Stegostoma tigrinum: one gene and its partners. The protein of the gene in region 3 binds, or shares a complex with, the protein of the main gene of each other region. Links are inferred from orthologs where the notes say so. Each region holds a gene or a part of one and is shown on either strand. Other genes may lie near its edges.

Region 1 (6,937 bases), on a different chromosome or scaffold from region 3:
AGGTTGTCCTTCTTCAATTGATATTTATGTACAGCACTTTATAAAAACAATTGATAAACATTATTGCACTTTTCTTGCCAGGTTGTGGAAGCACATGTCCCTAGTTTCATCTTCGATGAGTTCAGAACAATTCTATAATGATGCCTGAGATGAAGAAAGTAGTCTGCCTCAATGTGAAGTGGTGTGCGTACTAATACCTGATAAATACTGGAATCCTTGGTTAATCTGAATATGCCTGTCTCAGCCAGAATGACACATGAAAACGGTGAATTCAGAATTTTGCTAAAAAAGTTGTGTGAATGCAAAGAAGAATTTACATTTTGCATTTGCAATAACATTGTAGCATCAATGCTGAACCCTTTTCTTCTCCAAACAAAATACAGCTCAGTTATGTATAATCTATATTTTGATTCAAATAAAAAAGTTTACTTGAACTATTGAGAAACAAAATTTTATGACTAATGTATTGCATTTTGAGTGAGCTGTAAATTAAGTAAAATTAATTGTTTAAGCCTTTGCAATTTGCATTTCTTTAAAAACTGGAACTTCAAGTTATATTGAATGGATTGCCTTTGGAAGGATAATGGTTGATCTTAAAATCAAAACATTTTTACATATGAAGGCAATTTTTGACTGTACAGCTGACCATTAAAAGTTCTTTCTGATCATGCTGTGTGGTATGCAACTTAATGGTTTTTCAAAGATGTTTTGTAGTGCAAGTTAAATGTTGTCCTATAATGTTCAGTCACTGGAATTTTACGGAGATCTTTGAGTAATATTCCTTTCTAATTTTCATCTTCGTAAACAGCAAAGTAGACAAAGATCACAATAATGCTGGAAAACAAATGGCAACCTTGAATCTAATCTTCAGGGTCACTCCATGATAAATCTAATGTTATTGAGATAGTTGTTTTAGTAACTCTCAGTATTTTTACAACCGACTATTGATTACAAACAGGTAACATTGTGATCTGGGGACACTTCTGAGGGAGAAGATTGCAGGTCATCCATACCATGAATTTGCTGCTTTTGATGTTTTGAGTAGGAACCAATACAGTTTCTTATTGAAGAATTTATTCCAAATTCAGTTTGAAAGTGAGAAATTGCTGTTCTGTATTTAAAAGATAAAGTAAATATTCAAAGAAAATCTTAAAGGATCTTCTACAAAGACTCGATGTTGTGCCGACCTGCAGACTGGTGCACTCCAAGGCCCAGGACTACGTGCTGAGGGACGCGCTAAAGCTTGGGGCAGCCGCAGCCAAGGCACGGTGGGGAAAGACCACCGTATGAAACCCCTCGTCCAGAATAGAAAAAAGGGTCCTATCTGGTAACTGGGCCCAGCTGGTGCCTTCCCCAACTGGTCAGGGGGCCAACTGGGACTATGCGGGGAGACGACTGACGGGATATTTTCTTTTCTTTGTTTTTCTTTGTTTTGTTCTTTTCCTTTAGTTGGTGTACGTACCCCCTGGGTAACCCAGAGCGGCTTGCATGACTGGGTAGGTGTATAAATGTTTTATTTTTTGTACATTCTATGAATAAAGTATATTTTTTCAAATAAAAAAAAGTGACGCAACATCTGAAAACTAACCTTCCAGCTCAGCAAGCAAACTCACATCCAGAAACTCAACCTGAGCTACAAATCTTCTCAAAACTCGCTATTCTAATTGTTAGCTCACTAAACCTTCTGGGAACTGCTTCCAAAGCATTACCATCCTTCTGCAAGCCCAGTGATTGTACTGTACAAGTACTCCAGGTATGGTCTTCTCATTGTTCTGTATAACTGAAACATAACCTCTCTTGCATACCATTCCCATTGCAATAAACCATAACGTTCTGCTCACTTGCTCTACTTGTGTACTTCTGTGATTCATGCTCTTATTTACCCAGGTTTCTCTATCTCTCAGAGCTCTGCAACTTCTCATCATTTAGATACTATACTTCCTTTCATTCATTCTGTCAAAATGGAAAATTTCACACTTTCCCACATTGTTTCATTTGCCAGGCTGTTATCCGTTCACTTAATCTATCTGTATTTGTCTTGTCTGCTCCTTATTTCCTCTTCATAGTCCATTTTCCTATATTTCTTTGTGTTGTTTGGAAATCTAGCTACCCTTCGATCCTTTGATTCAAATCTTTTATAAATTGCAAGGAGTTGAGGTCCCACCACTGATCCCTGTGGCATATCACTCGTGACATCTGCCAGCCTAAAAAAATTATCTATTTATTGCTACTCTCTGTGTCCTGCTTGCAAGCCAATCTTCTATCCATGCCAATATGTCACTCCTAACAACCTTTGACAGGGCATCTTATCAATGGCCATCCTGAAATCTATCCATCCACAGTTTTTGATAAGGTGCCACATAACAGGCTCCTCAGCAGAGTTGAAGCCCATGGAATAATAGGAGGAATGGCAGCATGGATGTGAGGTTTGCTGAGTGACTGTAAACAGTATAGTGGTGAATTGTATTTCAGACTGGGAGAAGGTGTATGTGGCTTTTCTCAGATGTCTATTCTGGGGCCTTTTTTTCTTAGTTTATGTTAATGGGCTAGATATTGATGTACAGGGCACAACGTCAATATTAGGGGGTGACACAAAACCTTTTAGGTATTGTGAGCTATGAGGAGAATAAAGTTCATGAGACATGGTCATTGGTGGAATGGGTGCAAATGAAATGAAATTCAGAGGAGTTTAAAATGTTAGGAAGAAGGGGAAGAGGAAACGTAAAATAATACGTACAAATTCTAAAGAAGCTGCAGTGACGGAGATGCTTAAATGTATACATTGTTGTTAGAGCCAGGGCATGTTGAGAAAGGGGTTAAAAGGGCAAATGGTATATTAGGCTTTATAAATAGAGAGGCAGGAGAACCTTAACCAAACATGAGTTTGGCCTCATCTGAAGTATTGTGTCTTGTTCTGGGTACTGTATTTTTAAGAATATAAGGCTTTATGTGGCGAACATGAAAGGCTCACAAAACTTGTACCTGGGCTGTTGCAGGAATAGATTGATGAAGCTGAGTTGCTCTTTTTGTGACAATGGTTGTGCAGTGGTTCAAGAGATGTGCCCATACGTGTGAAGAGTCTGGACACAACAGAACTGTTCCAATTGACTAAAGGATCCGATATCAATAGATACTGATCTAGGTGATAGATTAAAAAGTCAAGAGTTTTTATATGGTGAATGGTTAGGAGTGGGAGCTGGCAGGAATGTGGTAGGCTCAGTGCGGTTTTCCAAACACTTCATGATGCGATGAATGTGTCCTGAACAGAACTGTCCACACCCTAAATTGGCCCTTATTAATATTATTTTATTGAATTTTCATCACACAAATTGGACGGCACATAATCAGGTCATTCAGCACTCCCGCCCATTTTTGGGACAGGTTGGACTTAGCAAGTGTGCTCATGATTTGAGAAGAGCTTGTGCAGGAGTTTGGAGCAAATTACTGCAGATGCTGGAAACATAAGAATGCTACAGAGCACAGAGGGTCAGACAGTATCCATGGAGTGAAAGCAAGCTAATGTTTTGAGTCCAGGTGACTCTTCATCAAAGTTGACGTGAATTATGAAGGGAACATTATCAACACCCTGTCTCCCACCCCACTATTTTGCAGAAATGTTGTCCCGTCCACAGTTCACGTCAGCTCTGATGAAGGATCATTTAGACTCAAAACATTAGGTTACTGTCCGTCCTTGCAAGCTGCTTGAACCGCTGTAACTTCCAACATTTTGTTGTGGTGTTGCAGACATTTGCTGCCTTAATCCTAGTGGGCGACTCAAGCCACCGGCAACTGAAGCGAACAGCGACAATCAGAGGCATTCGCAACAACTGTTTCCGGGGGAAAGGAGGGATAGTTTGCAGTGGATACTGGGATTTGTAGTTTTCTATTTGGGGATCCTGGAAGTGGAAGAGTGGGGTGGCTGCAGACTACATGTCCCAGGGCGCCTTGTGCGACACCGTGTTGGCCATTTGAATCGCAGAGCGGCGGCGGCCAAGGGGAGGAAGGCCTAGATTGGTGTGTGGTTTGTGAGTTACATTTGTGTAATTTAACTTGTTTCAGCACATGCGAATTGCTGCTTTGTTTCGTATCCAGCGGCTAGCTGTTGTTCTGGAGTTTCAGCATTCAGGAGCCAAGTTAGTTCACAAACGCAAAACAAATATAATAACCAAACTGGGATAAACAAGCAGTACTAGGAGAGGGAGAGAAACGTTCAACTTGTCATCTTTATGGATTTGTAATCAATTCATGCTTATAAATTCATTCAATTCATGATCCTGTGTCCCTGCGTATAGATGGAGGAGAATTGTTTATTTTGGAAAGCGACCAAAATTAGTTGCTTGTTTATCAACATTTCACAAAGGTCTTTGAAAGGATGCTAAAGCCCTGCACTGAAGGTTCTGGAAATCAAACGTAGAAACAGATTCCTGGAAATCCTCAGCAGATCTGGCAGTTTCTGTGGAGATTGAAACAGGGTTAACCTTTCAGGTTGATATTCAGAGTTTAGATGTTTCCTTTTTGACTGCTGAGCATTTCTAGATTTTTTTTCTTCAAGGACTATTGAGTGGCGTCTATGGGGTAAAAAAAGTTCAGAAATTTCTTGGTTAAGCTGAGGATTACCGTTACTGCACACAATCAAACCACATAACCAATTTGGCTCTGTACTCATGGTTCTCCTACCTGAATCAAGTAGCCTAGTCTCACAGTCCCGTTTGTTTTATTTGCTCATGGCATATGAGAATGACAGGTAAGGCCACTATTTATTGCTCTTGTGAAGGAGGGGGTGAGCTGCTTTCTTGAACCCCCATATTTCATCTGGTGATGGTAGGAAGGGAGTTCTAGAATTTTTTTTTGACCAGTGGCAGTGAAGGAACTTGGGTTGAAAGTTAGAATAGCTTGTAGCTCTGAGGGAAACTTGCAGATCATATTGTCAGAGATAATGGGAACTGCAGATGCTGGAGATTCCAAGATAATAAAATGTGAGGCTGGATGAACACAGCAGGCCAAGCAGCATCTCAGGAGCACAAAAGCTGACGTTTCGGGCCTAGACCCTTCATCAGAGAGGGGGATGGGGGGAGGGAACTGGAATAAATAGGGAGAGAGGGGGAGGCGGACCGAAGATGGAGAGCAAAGAAGATAGGTGGAGAGGGTGTAGGTGGGGAGGTAGGGAGGGGATAGGTCAGTCCAGGGAAGACGGACAGGTCAAGGAGGTGGGATGAGGTTAGTAGGTAGCTGGGGGTGCGGCTGGGGGTGGGAGGAAGGGATGGGTGAGAGGAAGAACCGGTTAGGGAGGCAGAGACAGGTTGGACTGGTTTTGGGATGCAGTGGGTGGGGGGGAAGAGCTGGGCTGGTTGTGTGGTGCAGTGGGGGGAGGGGATGAACTGGGCTGGTTTAGGGATGCAGTGGGGGAAGGGGAGATTTTGAAACTGGTGAAGTCCACATTGATACCATATGGCTGCAGGGTTCCCAGGCGGAATATGAGTTGCTGTTCCTGCAACCTTCGGGTGGCATCATTGTGGCAGTGCAGGAGGCCCATGATGGACATGTCATCAAGAGAATGGGAGGGGGAGTGGAAATGGTTTGCGACTGGGAGGTGCAGTTGTTTGTTGCGAACTGAGCGGAGGTGTTCTGCAAAGCGGTCCCCAAGCCTCCGCTTGGTTTCCCCAATGTAGAGAAAGCCGCACCGGGTACAGTGGATGCAGTATACCACATTGGCAGATGTGCAGGTGAACCTCTGCTTAATGTGGAATGTCATCTTGGGGCCTGGGATGGGGGTGAGGGAGGAGGTGTGGGGACAAGTGTAGCATTTCCTGCGGTTGCAGGGGAAGGTGCCGGGTGTGGTGGGGTTGGAGGGCAGTGTGGAGCGAACAAGGGAGTCACGGAGAGAGTGGTCTCTCCGGAAAGCAGACAGGGGTGGGGATGGAAAAATGTCTTGGGTGGTGGGGTCGGATTGTAAATGGCGGAAGTGTCGGAGGATAATGCGTTGTATCCGGAGGTTGGTAGGGTGGTGTGTGAGAACGAGGGGGATCCTCTTGGGGCGGTTGTGGCGGGGGCGGGGTGTGAGGGATGTGTTGCGGGAAATGCGGGAGACGCGGTCAAGGGCGTTCTCAATCACCGTGGGGGGGAAGTTGCGGTCCTTAAAGAACTTGGACATCTGGGATGTGCGGGAGTGGAATGTCTTATCGTGGGAGCAGATGCGGCGGAGGCGGAGGAATTGGGAATAGGGGATGGAGTTTTTGCAGGAGGGTGGGTGGGAGGAGGTGTATTCTAGGTAGCTGTGGGAGTCGGTGGGCTTGAAATGGACATCAGTTACAAGCTGGTTGCCTGAGATGGAGACTGAGAGGTCCAGGAAGGTGAGGGATGTGCTGGAGATGGCCCAGGTGAACTGAAGGTTGGGGTGGAAGGTGTTGGTGAAGTGGATGAACTGTTCGAGCTCCTCTGGGGAGCAAGAGGCGGCGCCGATACAGTCATCAATGTACCGGAGGAAGAGGTGGGGTTTGGGGCCTGTGTAGGTGCGGAAGATCATATTGTCACTCGTCTGTTGGCTTGCTTTTTTCTTGCTGGTCAATGCTGTAGTTTTGAAAGGTACTGTTGAAGGAGCTTTGCTGAGTTTATTACAATACATAAAATAAACTTATAAACACTGCTGCCGCTGTGTCCTTGTGGTGGGGCTGTTGACTGTTTAACACTGTGGAAGAATTGCATTGCTTTATCCTCCATCATGTTGAACTGTACATGTAACTAGAGTTGTGTTCATTTGGCCAAGTGGAGACTCTTCCATTACACTCTTGACTTTACCTTAAACAGTAGCAGGCTTTGGAGAATCTGGAAGTGGATTATTCACATATGGTCAATGGTTAACCACCTGGATGTTAATGGAAATTTATTTGATCATAATACCACTGCATGCCAAAGGGAAATGATTAAGTTCTTTCTTGTT
Region 2 (7,394 bases), on a different chromosome or scaffold from region 3:
GTCAGGGGTTTATTTTATTTAACCACTAGAAGTTGCTGAAAGGCAGGTTAGACCACTTTTCACAATCTTTTTACAGATTATAGGGCGAGGTGCTCCTCTTTGGGTGTTTTGCTTTCAGTCCTTGAGGTGGGGGTGGAGTCACTTCCACTTTATAACACCTCATTGTCATTACATATGGTTTATGTCATTGTTACTTACACCTCCCAAGGTCTGATCTTGTCCTCTCAATCTAATTTTTCTCCATTAAAATTTTCAATAAAATCTCCTTTTGTAACTCAAAGCCTTAAGTCCAGAGTCATTTTACTGTAAATCATCCCTAAGGTATCAATGCCTTGTAAAATTGGGTGATGACTTAAACGCCTAAAATTCCTTTTGGAAGGGTAAATTATCAAGCAGATTTACCTCTGTTTGTTTTTCTGATTTTGAGTTTTCCTTCCACACTGACATATCCATGCATTCTGTAACTTGTATTGTAAGGAATGTTTTTGAAATAAAATCTAAGTAGCCAGTAGATCCAGGAAAATAATAGTTGCTTAATTGTGCAGAACTTAAGAGCTGCTTAAAAAGGAACTTGTCATGCATTTATCCAGACAGAATTGCACAAATACCACATTTCATAGGGAACAACATTTTATGCTGCACAAAATGCAGCGTGCTCACAGGCATTAGATTAACTTATTTTGGGAAAAACAATGAAACAAGATAAACATTTTATGAAACACCAGCAACTCAAAACGTGTTCAGCAAGCAATACTGCTGTATTTATCAGAATGGAAATCCAGTTAAGACAATGACAGTGACTATTGAACTTTCTACTGTGTTAGTGACTCAGAGAAAGCACACTTGTATAACGTGACAAATGACATCTATAATCAGTCATTTAGTTTTGACTCTCTATGCATATTTCTGTTATAATTCCTACCAGAACAACTATTTCAAAACCGTTTACTTCACAGAAAACCATCAATATAACTAGAATAAAGATTTACTTTTAAACTGTAACTTGATTAAAAAATATATTAACATGAAACTGGAATTTGAACATTAATACATAGAATACTGAAATACTAAATGATATTTGTGTCCCTCCTAAGGATACATGTTACTTTTTCACATCTCTGCTACGCTGGTTATGTGATTGTTTTTGTGTGCAACATATTCAACAACTGCTGTACAGATTCTTCTGTGATATCACGAAGTGAACATAAGTTCACTCTCAATTAACTAAACTGTTATCGGTTAATATTTTAACTTATCAGTCTGGCTTTTTTATTTTAATGGTAACTGATCTTTCAATGTTAAGTTTGCAGTCAAGTATAATAAAAAAAATCATGAAGTCCTTCAAAACGGATTGATACCAGGTATCATATTGAAGGAAGAAAGTTAACTCGAAAAAGCAAACATTTGAATATGTATGAGTAATTTTTAGAATGGCCTGTTATGTCTTGTAGTATCCAGTATATCTATTATTAAGCAGACTCCAGCATCCCAGCACTAACAGCCACAGGAGACTCCTGCAGTACCCTCCAACCTCTCTTGACAGTCACACATCTATCTGACTGAACCTGCTGTGTGACCACCTCTCTAAATCTACTGACCATCACACCCTGTGTCTCTTGCATGCTCCTCAGTGACTCAAACAGCCTTTCCAGCCATTCCAAATGGTCTGGTAGAAGACAGATCCAAGCACGCCTCCCGAAAACATAGTCTCCATAGATGGTCAACTGTTTGCTCGTCTCCTACATTCAACAGGAGGAACATAGCATTCCATTGACGGGCATAATTGGCCCTTAAAAATTTGCCTTCATATTTTTGCTGAAAAAGACCCATACTTTTCTCAACTCCAGTATTTATAGACTGATTGCTGCTGTCGCTCTATGTTGGAAGGATTTCAAGCCTATATTCTATACAATAAGGCCCAAAAGAAGAAGCTCTAAATTAAACTTTGTATGAAAAAGATCTACCCTTCACTTACCCACAGCTTTTAACTTTAAAAATGTTTCAGTCATGGCCTATTAACTAGTTTTCATTGCCATGCTCAAAAATTATGTCACAGCATTAGACATCTAATACACAAATGTTAAAGACTTGAACAGTCAGAACAAACAAAAATGGATTAAAATACAAACTAAACTGGATTCTCATGACATATGTAACTAATAACAGTAGAAACAGTTAAGTTGGAGACTGCTTAGTCAACAGTGCACTTGCTCTCAGCCAAAAGCAGCTCCATACTAAATGCCAAACTAAACTAACAGAGTAATGTACAGATCAGTTCAACTTCAAACCTTAGTATTCTGATATCTTCACGAACTATTTACCTTTATTTTCACATCATTTGTGCAGTTGAGCGCAGCATGTATCTCCTCTATAAGTCTTCAATCATTGTTTAATGTCAGGCCACTGTAGCTGAAGCTAACTGTGGCTGCACAAGAATCTTATGCACCAAGATCGTATTGGGCAATATTGTTATGATGTAGTTTAAAGTGAGGCTAGCCTTGTCTGGTATCATGTGTCATCAGGTTAAAATGAACAGGCTCTAATCCTGGATTTTATTTCAACGCATAGATGACTTTCTTTTGTAAACATTCAGCACTGCTCGAGGTATGAGTGTACTCATGAAAGGGAAACTGGACAGGAATTTGTGGCATGATGAATTGCAGGTTGCTAATTTTTATTTTAAAACTCTATTAAAACAAGTGACTCAAAAAAGAGAGTAAATCTAGCTCCAGGGATACTAAACTGCTTCTTTAAACCAAACTGTCAATTTCTCCCCATATTACTGTCTGAACCCTAAGCATACTGCATCCATCATGCCAGACATAGCAATGAACTGTCTCCCCATTAAAGCCAGATTGGTGTTTTTTTAAAATTCATTCATGGGATGTGGAAGTCACTAGCCAGACCAGTATTTATTGCCCATGGCTAATTGCCCAGAGGGCAGTTAAGAGTCAACCACATTGTTGTGGGTCTAGAGTCACATGTAGGCCAGACCAGGTAAGGATGGCAGATTTCATTCCCTCAAAGGCATAGTGAACCAGATGGGTTTTTCCAACAGTTGGCAACAGTTTCATTGTCAACATTATATTTTAGTTAAATTCAAGTTCTACCATGATGGCTAGAATTCCAGGTACTCAAGACATTATCTGGGTCTCTGGAATAGTAGTCTAGTGGTAATGCAATTAGATCATCACCTCCCCTCTACTTGTCATGCTGATTGTTGATTATCTCATTCCCTCCTAACCTCTAGCATCTCTCCCCTTTATATTGAATTTCCTGCTCCATTGCACATCCCATCATTCTGCCTGAAAATATCACAATTGAGTTCCCCAGTTTCACCACCAGCTCCTGGTAAAGCCTTCTTTGCCTTTTAATGGACGGGCTCTAGGACTGTCACTCTTTGTGCCCCACCCCTTGACAGACCTGGATGGTCAGCCCTTCTGACAACTGATTGTAACCTTGGCTGAAATCTGTGCAGCTTCCCGAGTGATTTACTGTGACTTTCAAAACTGTTTGCACCAGATCTACAGGACTGACTGGAACCTGACTTCAACTCTTGTGCCCCTAAGATGCTGCTTGGTCTGCTGTGTTCATCCAGCTCCACACTTTGTTATCTTGATCTAATTGCTCACTCCTTTGTGCCCCACCCTGTGATGAGCTTAAATGCCACCTTTTCCAAGCTATCGGTTCTGAAGAAGGGTCATTAGACTTCAAACGTTAACTTTGCTTTCTTTCCACTGATGCTATCAGACCTGTAAAGTTTCTCCAGAGAAATAAAGACTGTAGATAATAGAAGCCTGCACCTGTCGGTGTGAGACTGGAAAAGCACAGCAGGTCAGACAGTATCAAAGTAGGATACATCAACGTTAGTGTACCTAGTACTATTGAAGGGTTTCAGCCCAAAAGGTTGACTTTTTTGCTCCTCTGATGCTGACTGACCTCCTGTGCTTTTCCAGCCTCACACCAATAGATTCTGCTGAGTTTCTCCAGTAATTTGTTTTGGTTCTTTTCCCTCACTTCTATATAGGGTAATGCTTTTATGTAGGATGAGATAACAAGCTGGATGAACACAACAGGCCAAGCAGAAAGGCTGACATTTCGGGTCAGGACCCTTCTTCAGAAACCCGGGGGGAGGGGGGATTCTGAAATAAATAGGGAGAGAGGGGGAGGCGGATAGAAGGTGGATCAAGGACAAGATAGGCTGAGAGGAGACGAACAGGTCAAGGAGGCCCTATACAGAACTTTTATTTAATAAAAATTAAAATCTGAAGCAATAACACCTTTCGTCCTTCACTGATGACGCAAACCTGGGAAACATGTTCAACTACAAATTAAGAGTCGGTGGCTTTGACTTCCGGCGCATGTGGAGGTGACGTGCTGGAAAGGCGCTGGTTTGGCTTTGTACTGGCGGGGTGGAGAAACAATGTCGGAGGGCAAAGGTCGAGGCCGATCCCCTTATCCCCCCGGGGGATCGCAGCGCTCCGCTGCGGGCACCTCCAACGGCACCATGGCCGGAGCGGGAGCTCCGCAGCGCGGCAGGAGAAACTCAGCCGTCTCGGACTGCACCGTGACCGAGGACGAGGAGCTGGTCGATGGCGCCATCCCGTATGGGGCCCGGGATGATGACCCGAATCGCCGGAGGATGCTGAGGCACCAGTACCGGGAACTTATCAACAGCGTCCAGCGTGAGTGAGCAGGCACGGGGACACCCAGTTCAGATTGTAACCTCTTCTCGCTCTCATCAGGACACTCTGGGTCTTCCGTTCTCCCCTTGTGAACTCCAATAGGAAACGTAAAATTAAATAACAATAGAATCTCTTGTCTTGTATCAATACCACGGGCCAGTTTGATACCGAGTAACCTGCGTCTATATTATTTGTGAACAGGCTTTCCCTTTTTTTTGAGCAGGCTTGCCCTTTATAAATATGGTTTATCAATAACTTCCACTCGGTTAGACTTGAACAATAAGACTACTTTCGAGCGGGAGATTTAAGTTTAGTTCTCATCTCCAGAGGTGTGGAATAAAATGCCTGAACAAGTTGATATTTCAAAATATCCGAAGTTGCTGCTTTGTGGCTTTCATGAGAAAACGTGTCGTCGCAGAATGTGATTCTGAAAGCCAGTCAGATTGCTCCACTTTACCAGTTCAGTTGCTTACCGGCTGTCCTAGTGTGGAGCTGGATGAACACAGCAGGCCATGCAACATCTCCGGAGCACAAAAGCTGACGTTTTGGGCCTAGACCCTTCATCAGAGAAGGGGATGGGGAGAGGGTTCTGGAATAAATAGGGAGAGAGGGGGAGGCAGACTGAAGATGGATAGAGGAGAAGATAGATGGAAAGGGGATAGGTTAGTCCAAGGAAGCGGAATGAGGTTGGTAGGTGAGAGGAAGAACAGGTTAGGGAGGCTGGTTTTGGGATGCAGTGGGGGAGGGGGAGATTTTGAAGCTTGTGAAGTCCAGCCCAGCTCGTCCCCTCCCCCCACTGCATCACAAAACCAGCCCAGCTCGTTCCTGCCTCCCTAACCTGTTCTTCCCCTCTCCTATCTCCTTCTCCCACCTGCCAACCTCATCCCACCGCCTTGAAATGTCCGTCCTCCGTAGACTGACCTATCACCTCCCCACCTATACTCTCCTCTCTACCTATCTTCTCTATCCATCTTCGGTCCACCTCCCCCTCTCTCCCTATTTATTTCAGAACCCTCTCCCCATCCCCCCCCTCTGATGAAGGGTCAAGGCCCAAAACGTCAGCTTTTGTGCTCCTGAGATGCTGCTTGGCCTGCTGTGTTCATCCAGCTGCACACTTTGTTATCTTGGATTCTCTGGCATCTGCAGTTCCCATTATCTCTAGTGTGTACCAATTTGGTTTGTGTGAAATAAAGGTGGTGTGAACAATTTCTTTCCAGGACTTCATCTAATGTTAGTAGAATCTGGAATTGTCCTGTTTACATAGAACATTACAGTACAGTACAGGCCCTTTGGCCCTCGTTGTGCTGACCTGTCATACCGATCTCAAGCTCATCTAAACTACACTATTCCATGTACGTCCATATGCTTATCCAATGACGACTTAAATGTACCTAAAGTTGGCGAATCTACTACCGTTACAGGCAAAGCGTTTCGTTGCCTCACTACTCTGAGTGAAGAAACCATCTCTGACATCTGTCCTATATCTTTCACCCCTCAATTTAAAGCTATGCCCCCTCGTGCTCTCCGTCACCATCCTAGGAAAAAGGCTCTCCCTATCCACCCTATCTAACCCTCTGATTATTTTATATGTTTCTATTAAGTCACCCCTCAACCTTCTTCTCTCCAACGAAAACAGCCTCACGTCCCTCAGACTTATTTCGTAAGATCTTCCCTCCATACCAGGCAACATCCTAGTAAATCTCCTTTGCACCCTTTCCAAAGCTTCCACATCCTTCTTATAATGCGGTGACCAGAACTGTATACAATACTCCAAGTGTGGCCGCACCAGAGTTTTGTACAGCTTAATGATAACCCCTTGGTTCTGGAACTCGATCCCTCTATTAATAAAAGCTAAAACACTGTATGCCTTCTTAACAGCCTTGTCAACCTGGGTGGCAACTTTCAAGGATCTGTGTACATGGACACCGAGATCTCTCTGCTCATCTACACTACTAAGAATCTTACCATTAGCCCTGTACTTTGCCTTCTGGTTACTCCTACCAAAGTGCATCACCTCACACTTGTCTGCATTAAGCTCCATTTGCCACCTCTCAGCCCAGCTCTGCAGCTTATCTATGTCTCTCTGCAACCTACAGCATCCTTCGTCACTATCCACAACTCCACCAACCTTAGTGTCGTCTGCAAATTTACTAACCCATCCTTCTACGCCCTCATCCAGGTCATTTATAAAATGACAAACGGCAGTGGACCCTACACCAACCCTTGCAGTACACCACTAGTAACTGGTCTCCAGGATGAACATTTCCCATCAACCACCACCCTCTGTCTTCTTTTAGCAAGCCAATTTCCAATCCAAATTGCTGTATCTCCCAAAATTCCATTCCTCCGCATTTTGTACAATAGCCTACTGTGGGGAACCTTATCGAACGCCTTGCTGAAATCCATATACACCACATCAACCGGTTTACTCTCATCTACCTGTTTGGTCACCTTCTCAAAGAACTCAATAAAGTTTGTGAGGCACGACCTTCCCTTCACAAAACCGTGCTGACTATCCCTAATCAATTTATTCTTTTCTAGATTATTATAAATCCTATCCCTTATAACCTTTTCCAACACTTTACCAACAACTGAGGTAAGGCTCACTGGTCTATAATTACCAGGGTTGTCTTTACTCCCCTTCTTGAACAGGGGAACCACATTTGCTATCCTCCAGTCGTCTGGCACTATTCCTGTAGACAATGACGA
Region 3 (7,986 bases):
TACCAGGAAAGAAACAACAGTTGCCAACAGGTTTTCCATTTTCTACTTTAATTGTATTGGCCTTGCAAGTAACACAAAACATAGATATCACTTTTCTGATACTTTTCAGTCATGATTTTTCTTATATTTTCTTAATTTGTTCATAGAATGTGGCTTCACAGCAAGTTGATATTTATTATCCACCCCTAATTGTCCTAGAGAAGGTGGTTTGAGTTGCTTTCTTCAACTAGTGCAGTCCATGCAGCATAGGAACATCCATTGTGCTATTAGAAAGAGAGTTCCAGGATTTTGACCTAGTGACACTGAGGTAACGGCACTACCCTCAACCCTTTGCACGTTTATTTTACATGTTAATCTCTGACATAAGAGGATATCAATAGCTTTCTGAAATTCCAAGTAAACCACATCCACCAGTACCACTTATCAAATCTACCAGTTGCATCTGTGGAAAATTTCAGTAGTTTTGTCAAGAATGATTTCCCTTCAGTAAATCTACAGTGACTCTGTCAAATCCTGTCATTATTTTTTTCCCCAAGTACTCTTCCATAAATTTCTCATAATGCCTTCTAGCATTTTCCCAGAAACAGGAAACAGCAGCCTTGTTGCGGTGGGCAATTTTAGCTTCCTGTATATGGACTGGGACTCACTTGGTGCTAATGGCTTGGACAGACAGAATTTGTAAAGACCCTTCAGGAGGGTTTCTTGACATAGTATGTAAACTGTCCAACCAGGGAAGGAGTTGTCTGAAGAAGGATCCTGACCTGAAACATCAGCTTTCCTGCTCCTCTGATACTGCCTGGCCTGCTGCGTTCCTCCAGGTCCACACTGTGTTATCTCTGACTCCAGCACTGGCAGTTCTTACTATCTCTGAAGGAGTTTTCTGGACCTGGTTTTGGGAAACGAGCCTGGTCAGGTGACTGAACATTTAGTGGGGGAGTACAGCAGTTGTTGGTGAAGTTCTAAACTGAGGTAAGACTATACAACAATATTAGGTAGGAACTGGAAACTTTCTCTTGGAGGTGGCTGTTAGAGGGTAAATCCACATCGGACATGTGGGACTCTTTCAAATGGCTCATTCTTGCGAGAATGAAAGGTAAGTATGGCAAGTAATGTGAACTTTGGATGATGAGAGAAGTTATGACCTTGGTTGAAAAGAAAAAGGAAGCATATGTAAGGTCTAGGAGGATAGGAACTCATGAAGCCCTTTAAGTATGCAAGGAAAATAGGAAAGAACTTAAAAAACGATTAGAAGGGCTTAAAGGGGTCATGAGAAGTCATTAACAAACAGGATTAAGGAGAATCCCAAGGCTTTTATATACACACACACACACACACACACACACACACACACACAAAGTGAGAGGGTAGCCAGGGAAAGGGTTAGCTCACTCAAGGACAAAGGAAGAAATCTACATCTACAGCCAGAGAAGGAATTGGTGGAGAATGATGTCAGGGAAGGGAGTGTGGAATTGCTAAGCCAAGTTGCTAATAAAAAGGAACAGGTGTTGTGCATCTTAAAAAGTATTAAAGTAGATAGGTCTTTGAATCCTGATGGTATCTTTCCCAGAATATTAAGGGAGGTAAGAGAACAAATTGCTGGAGCTTTGACAGACACCTTTGTATCCTCTTTGGCCACAGGTACGGCCCCAGAGGATACTGGGGAATATTGTCCCATTGTTTAAGAAGGGTAGCAGGGTTGATCCAGGAAATTACAGGCCTGTGAACCTCACATTGATAGTAAGGAAACTCAGGTACAAAATCTATTCGCATTTAGACGAAAATGGACTTAATAGTGATAGACAGCATGGTTTTGTCCAGGGGAGGTCATGGAGTTTTATGAAGAAATGATGAAGACTTTGATGAGGGAAAAGCAATTGATGTTGTCCATGTGGACTTCAGTGAAGCCTTTGTCAAGATCCCTCATGGTAGACTGGTACAAAAGGTGAAGTCATATGGAATCAAAGGTGAGCTGGCAAGTTGGATACAGAACTGCCTTAGTTACAGGAGACAGAAGGTAGTGGTGGAAGGATGCTTTTCGGAATGGAGGGCTGAGAGATGTGGGGTTCCATAGGGATCAGTGCTGGGACCTCTGCTGTTCATGGTCTACGTAAATGATTTTGAAGAAAATGTAGCTGGTCTAATTAGTAAGCTGTGGAAATACAAAGATTGGTAGAGTTGCGAATAATGAGAATTGTCAGAGGATACAAGGCATGGGCACAAAAATGGCAAATGGAGTTTAACGTGGACACATGAGGTGATGCATTTTGGAAGGTCAAGTACAGGTGGAAATTATGCACTGAATGGCAGAACCCTTAGGAATATTGATATGCAGAGGGATCTAGATGTGCAGGTCTACCGATCACTGAAGGTGGCAGCGCAGTTCGATGAGGTAGTAAAAAAGGCCTACAGCATATGAACCTTCATTGAAAGGGGTATTACCCGTGAGGATAGATGCTGCAGCTCTACAGAAGTTTAGTTAGGCGACACTTGGAATACTGCATATAGTTCTGGTCAGCATACTACCAGAAGGATGGGTGGCTAGACTGGGTCTGTTTTCACTAGAACGTAGGAGGTTGAGGGGTGGCCTAATAGATGTTTAGTAGATTGTGAATGGCCTGGATAGACTGGAAAGCACAAGGGTGGAGAGATCAATTACTTGGGGCCACCGGTTCAGGGTGCTGGGGTGGGGGTGGAGAGAGGATGAAGTTTAAAACAGATGTATGATGCATGTTTTTCACACAGGGGGCGGTGAGTGTCCGGAATACATTGCCAGAGGTGGTGGAAGCAGACACAATAGCAGCGTTCAAGAAGCACCTGGACAAATAGATGAATATGAAGGGAATAGAGGGATACAGATCTTGTAATTGAAGACAGTTTTAGTATGGAAGGACAAGATGTGTCAGCACAGGCTTCGAGGGCTGAAGGGCCTCTCCATGTGCTGTATTGTTCTTTGTTTGTTCCCAGTACCAATGTGAGACTAACCAGTCTCTAATTTCCACTTTTCTCTGCATCATTTTTTAAAAAATAGTGACATTACATTAGTTACCTCCCAATCTATAGAAACTGTTCCAGAGCTTTTGGATTTAAAAAAATGGCCATCAGTGTATCCACTATTTCTAGGACCACTTCTTCAATACTCTGGGACATAGATTATCAGTACTTGGGACTGATTGGTCTTGAATCACATCAATTGCTGCAAAACTATTTCCCTACAACTACTTGAGTTCCTCCCTCTCACTAAACTCTGTATTCCCCAGCATTTTTGGATCATTATTTGTATCTTCTTTTGTGAAGATAATACAAAAAATATACACTTAATTCATCTGCCATCTTCGTTCCCCATTATAACATCCCCCACTGTTCCTGACTCTAAGGAATTCACATATATAATCACTAATCTCTTTCACTTCATAATGCTATAAAGGTTTTTCTGATCAATTTGTATATTCTCCACAAACTTACTGCATTTTCCCCTTGTTAATAAATCACTATGTCCTGCTTTGTTGAAATCTAAACTGTTCCTCAGATCTGCCACTTTTTTTGGGCTAATTTGTATGCCCCTTTCTTGGATCTAATACTATCCCTCATTTGTTAGCCACGATCAGGCCACCTTTCCTGTTTTGTTTTTGTGCCCCTCACAGATGAACAATTGTTGCAGTTCTTCCTGTCTTGGCACTCTTTAAAAGTTTGCCATTTACTGTCATCCTTTGAGTAACTTTCCCCAGTTTATCACAGACAGCTCTTACCTCACACTACCACAATTTCCTTTCTTTAGATTCAGAATCCTAGTCTCAGGGTCAACTATGTCATTTCCATCTAAACAAATAATTCTATCATATCGTGGTCACCCCTTTTTAAGGGGACCTTGTACAGCTCGACTTCAAATTATTTCTCTCATTACGAAGCAGACAGTCTAGGATAGCCTGTTCTTTAAGTAGTTCCTCAAAGCATTGATCCAGAAATCTCACACTCCCAAGAATTCCTCTTCTACAGCATTATTACCCACTTGATTTACTGTATCAATATGCAGATTAAAGTCACCCATAATTATGTCTGTTCCTTTACTGCCTGGGTCACTAATTTCTTGTAAAGTGCCTTCCCCAATGTTAGCATTCCAGTTAGGGAAGTGAGTCTATTTACAACACTATCTTGCTTACCCTTGGTGTTTCTAAGTTGTAACCACACAGATTCTACTTGACAGGTGTAAGTAAAAACCAAAAGAATTGCAGATGCTGTAAATCAGGAACAAAGTCGCTGGAAAAGCTCAGCAGGTCTGGCAGCATCTGTAAAAGAAAAAAAAGTTAACAGAAGGAAAAAAAATTGACAACTGAGAATGGGTCACCGGACTCGAAACACTATTTTTTTTCCCTGCACAGATGCTGCCAGATCTACTGAGCTTCTCCAGCAACTTTGTTTTTGTGACAGGTGTAAGTATCCTCCTTCACTATTGCGTTAACGTCCTGTTTAACCCTACTCCTTTTCCTCTTTGTCTGTCCTTCCTAAATACTGAATACCCCTGTACATTCAGTTCTCATCCCTGGCCACCCCACAACTATATTATGTGTATTGCCAACTACTTGACACCTGTTTCCGTCTATTGGCGCCATCAGTAGCCAAAACTACGATTGCAGGGAGGGGGCTTGTGGCAATATCCCTACCCTTGAACCAGGTAGCCTACGTTCAAATTCCATCTATATAACATCTCAGAACAGGTTGATTTGACAAAGCTCCAAAAACTGCGACTTTGCTACAGCTGAGCGACTGTCCTGTAGCGTCCGCACCGCCTGCTTTGTGACGTTTGCACGATCCCGCCAAAGAGGGACGGGCGGGCCTCGAACTCCGCAGTCACGCGCCCTCTCTCCCCGACCGCAACCCACCAAACCAACGCGCGTCACGAGTCGGGGTGAAGCGACGTCGGCGTGATGACGTGAGCCCGGAGGTTTGCGCGGGAAAAGAGCCCGGCGACCGTCAAGATGGCGGCGCTGAAGCGTAAACTGGCCGGGCAGGGGGAGACGAGCGGAAAAAGAGGGCTGAGCGGCCGGCACGTCCCACCGGAGGCAACTGGGGAAGATAGGGCCGGCAACCAGTTCGTGGAAGGATCGATCGTCAGGATCAAGATGGACAATTTCCTGTGAGTCAAGCGGCGGTAGCGGTGAGGGACAGACCGAGGCTTCTGGGCCTTCGGCCTGGGGGCCGGGTCGATGGAGTCCCCGTTTTATATCCGACCCCAAAAGCAGAGTCTTCCTCAGCGATCAGGCCAGGCCACAGTCGCCGATTTCTGTTCTTTTCAGAATCAGGGCTCTGGTGGGTGAGGATCAGGTCCCTTTAACTGAGTGATGTCTCTCGGGTTGGTCGCGAATGTCCCGTCTGAGAAGTTCAGTCGTTTCCTAACCCCTGACTGCCTCCGGGCCCTGCCCGCATAGGGACTCACCCTGGAAGTAGAATTTTACAAATAAACTTCGGCTGATTCTGTTTCCTGGGCTGAGTGGGAGGGATCTCAGCCGTATAAGGTGTGCTATTAATGATATTTGGTTGAGATATGAGAGTGGCATCGCCCAAGGAATTTGCAGCACTGAAGCAGACCGTTAGCCCAGACTAGTCCGTATTAGCGTTTATGGTTTTACAAGAGCCTTCTGAAAGCTTTCTTCATCCCTCTATTTCGCTTCCCCTGAAATGTGTCTCCGAGCGTTTGAATTGTCATGAAAAGGCACTCCCTCGCTGCATCGCAGTCTGAAGAAGTGCCTCCGAGTCTTTTAATTTCAAAAGCTTGCTGTTGCGTTCACGTTCACTGCATTGGACCCTATTCGCAACCTGGTTCCGCGATCAGATTACAAAACCACAAAAGTGGCCAGATGGTTCCTTTCAGAGTCACATTAATCCCGGAGAGATTGATCGTGTCTCCTGTTTTCTGTACCCATCCCACTCATTCAAAGGAAAACTTAGATATTGACAGGCTCAGGCTTCACCTTCGATTAGGCAAACTGGAGAGCACTTTTTGTGTTGATATCAAGGGCTGTGAATACTGTGACTTTGTGATAAATGTCGATGCGCATAAGTCAGTCATCATCTGAGGGGAACCATAAATATGCTTTTGGCTGAATTTTATTTCATAATTGGAATAAGTTTTAAGTGGGTGGACAAGTAAAGAAAGGGGACAGGCAGAGAGAATGAAAGGGAAGGTCTGATATGCTGGAGTGATTAAATGACAAAGGTGAGATGATAATAAGCAAGAAAAGAAATAAAAGATAGGTCTGGAGGAGGTGCAAATGACAGAACCAGAACTATTACCAAGGGATGCTATCCAACAAAATCAATTGAAAGCAGTGCCATCAGTTAAAATTGTCGAATTTGGTTGTGGAACCTGGAATGCTATAAAGTGCTTAATTAAAAGATAAATAACTTTCCTAGCATTTCTTTTGCATTTCAGTAGAATAGTGTAAGAGTTTGTTTTAGAGTTGGGCAGAGAATTGAAATGAATGGTGACTGGTCATAGTTGTGGACTAAACTACTGTGTTCCACAAACGATCACCAATCTATGCTCCCCAGTCTCGAGGAATGGATACAATAATCAATAGTGTTTAAAGGCCAATGAGGTAAATGAGTAGTAGCAGTAGATGAAACACCCTTGCAGAGAGAAAGCACGGACATGACTGGCTGGTCTTCTGCAGTCAATGTAGGATCTTAACAACACCAAATTGAAAGAAGTACAAGAAAATTACTATATTCCAAAGGTACTATGATAAAGGGAAGAGAATTTGGATGATAAAGAAGGGACACAGATCTTGAGGAATGCTCCTTTATTCTAATTTTGAACTCTTTCCGAGTTCTGAGTATCTTTCTGTCAGACTTTGTACAAAGGTGATGGGCAATGTAGAAAAAATGAATACTGGAAATCTAGAATATAAATTAAAACGTGTAGGAAACAAAGAAACTGACATTCGTGTTGAGACCCTTCTTCTTTACCTGAAACGTCAACTTTCCTACTCCTCTGATGCTGCTTGGCCTGCTGTGTTCATCCAGCTCTACACCGTGTTATGTCAGATTTTCCAGCATCGGCAGTTCCTACTATCTCTGTAGGAAACAAATATGATTTAACAGCAGCTTTTAAGAAAAAACATTGATATTTCATTTAAATATATGAATATTTTTGATGTAGAAATTTAGCACAGCTGAAAGTGCCAAGAAAGTGAAATAAATTAATAAAATGTGAGGCTGGATGAACACAGCAGGCCAAGCAGCATCTCAGGAGCACAAAAGCTGACGTTTCGGGCCTAGACCCTTCATCAGAGAGGGGGATGGGGAGCGGGAACTGGAATAAATAGGGAGAGAGGGGGAGGCGGACCGCAGACGGAGAGAAAAGAAGATAGGTGGAGAGAGTATACGTGGGGAGGGGATAGGTCAGTCCAGGGAAGACGGACAGGTCAAGGAGGTGGGATGAGGTTAGTAGGTAGATGGGGGTGCGGCTTGGGGTGGGAGGAAGGGATGGGTGAGAGGAAGAACCGGTTAGGGAGGCAGAGACAGGTTGGACTGGTTTTGGGATGCAGTGGGTGGGGGGGGAAGAGCTGGGCTGGTTGTGTGGTGCAGTGGGGGGATGCAGTTGGGGAAGGGGAGATTTTGAAACTGGTGAAGTCCACATTGATACCATATGGCTGCAGGGTTCCCAGGCAGAATATGAGTTGCTGTTCCTGCAACCTTCGGGTGGCATCATTGTGGCACTGCAGGAGGCCCATGATGGACATGTCATCTAGAGAATGGGAGGGGGAGTGGAAATGGTTTACGACTGGGAGGTGCAATTAATGTTTTGAGTTTGATACGCTGATTGTGTTTCCTAGACTGAGTGGGAGGGATCCCAGCTGTATAGAGTATGTTTTAATGATGTTCAGGTTGTGATAAGAGAGTGGCATCGACCAAAGAATTGCATAGAATTTGCAACATAGAAGCAGACGGTTAGGCCAAACTGGTCTGTGTTACCCGTTATTGTTTTAC

What was found.
Region 1: smc5 (region 3) and nsmce2 share a complex: the UniProt entries of both Homo sapiens proteins name them as parts of the SMC5-SMC6 complex. The link is inferred for Stegostoma tigrinum from reciprocal best matches to the Homo sapiens genes SMC5 and NSMCE2.
Region 2: smc5 (region 3) and nsmce4a share a complex: the UniProt entries of both Homo sapiens proteins name them as parts of the SMC5-SMC6 complex. The link is inferred for Stegostoma tigrinum from reciprocal best matches to the Homo sapiens genes SMC5 and NSMCE4A.

What each region holds. Positions count from the first base shown.
Region 1 is NC_081358.1:47,631,937-47,638,873, forward strand, and holds the start of nsmce2 (E3 SUMO-protein ligase NSE2), read left to right. Parts: upstream 1-3,903; 5' UTR 3,904-4,014; intron 4,015-6,937. Other genes in the region: washc5 (WASH complex subunit 5), read left to right, coding at 82-138. UniProt on the Homo sapiens protein: E3 SUMO-protein ligase component of the SMC5-SMC6 complex, a complex involved in DNA double-strand break repair by homologous recombination. Is not be required for the stability of the complex.
Region 2 is NC_081373.1:27,619,456-27,626,849, reverse strand, and holds the start of nsmce4a (non-structural maintenance of chromosomes element 4 homolog A), read left to right. Parts: upstream 1-4,369; 5' UTR 4,370-4,423; coding exon 4,424-4,685; intron 4,686-7,394. UniProt on the Homo sapiens protein: Component of the SMC5-SMC6 complex, a complex involved in DNA double-strand breaks by homologous recombination. The complex may promote sister chromatid homologous recombination by recruiting the SMC1-SMC3 cohesin complex to double-strand breaks.
Region 3 is NC_081356.1:28,652,941-28,660,926, forward strand, and holds the start of smc5 (structural maintenance of chromosomes protein 5), read left to right. Parts: upstream 1-4,912; 5' UTR 4,913-4,973; coding exon 4,974-5,131; intron 5,132-5,465; exon of another isoform or gene 5,466-5,510; intron 5,511-7,986. UniProt on the Homo sapiens protein: Core component of the SMC5-SMC6 complex, a complex involved in repair of DNA double-strand breaks by homologous recombination.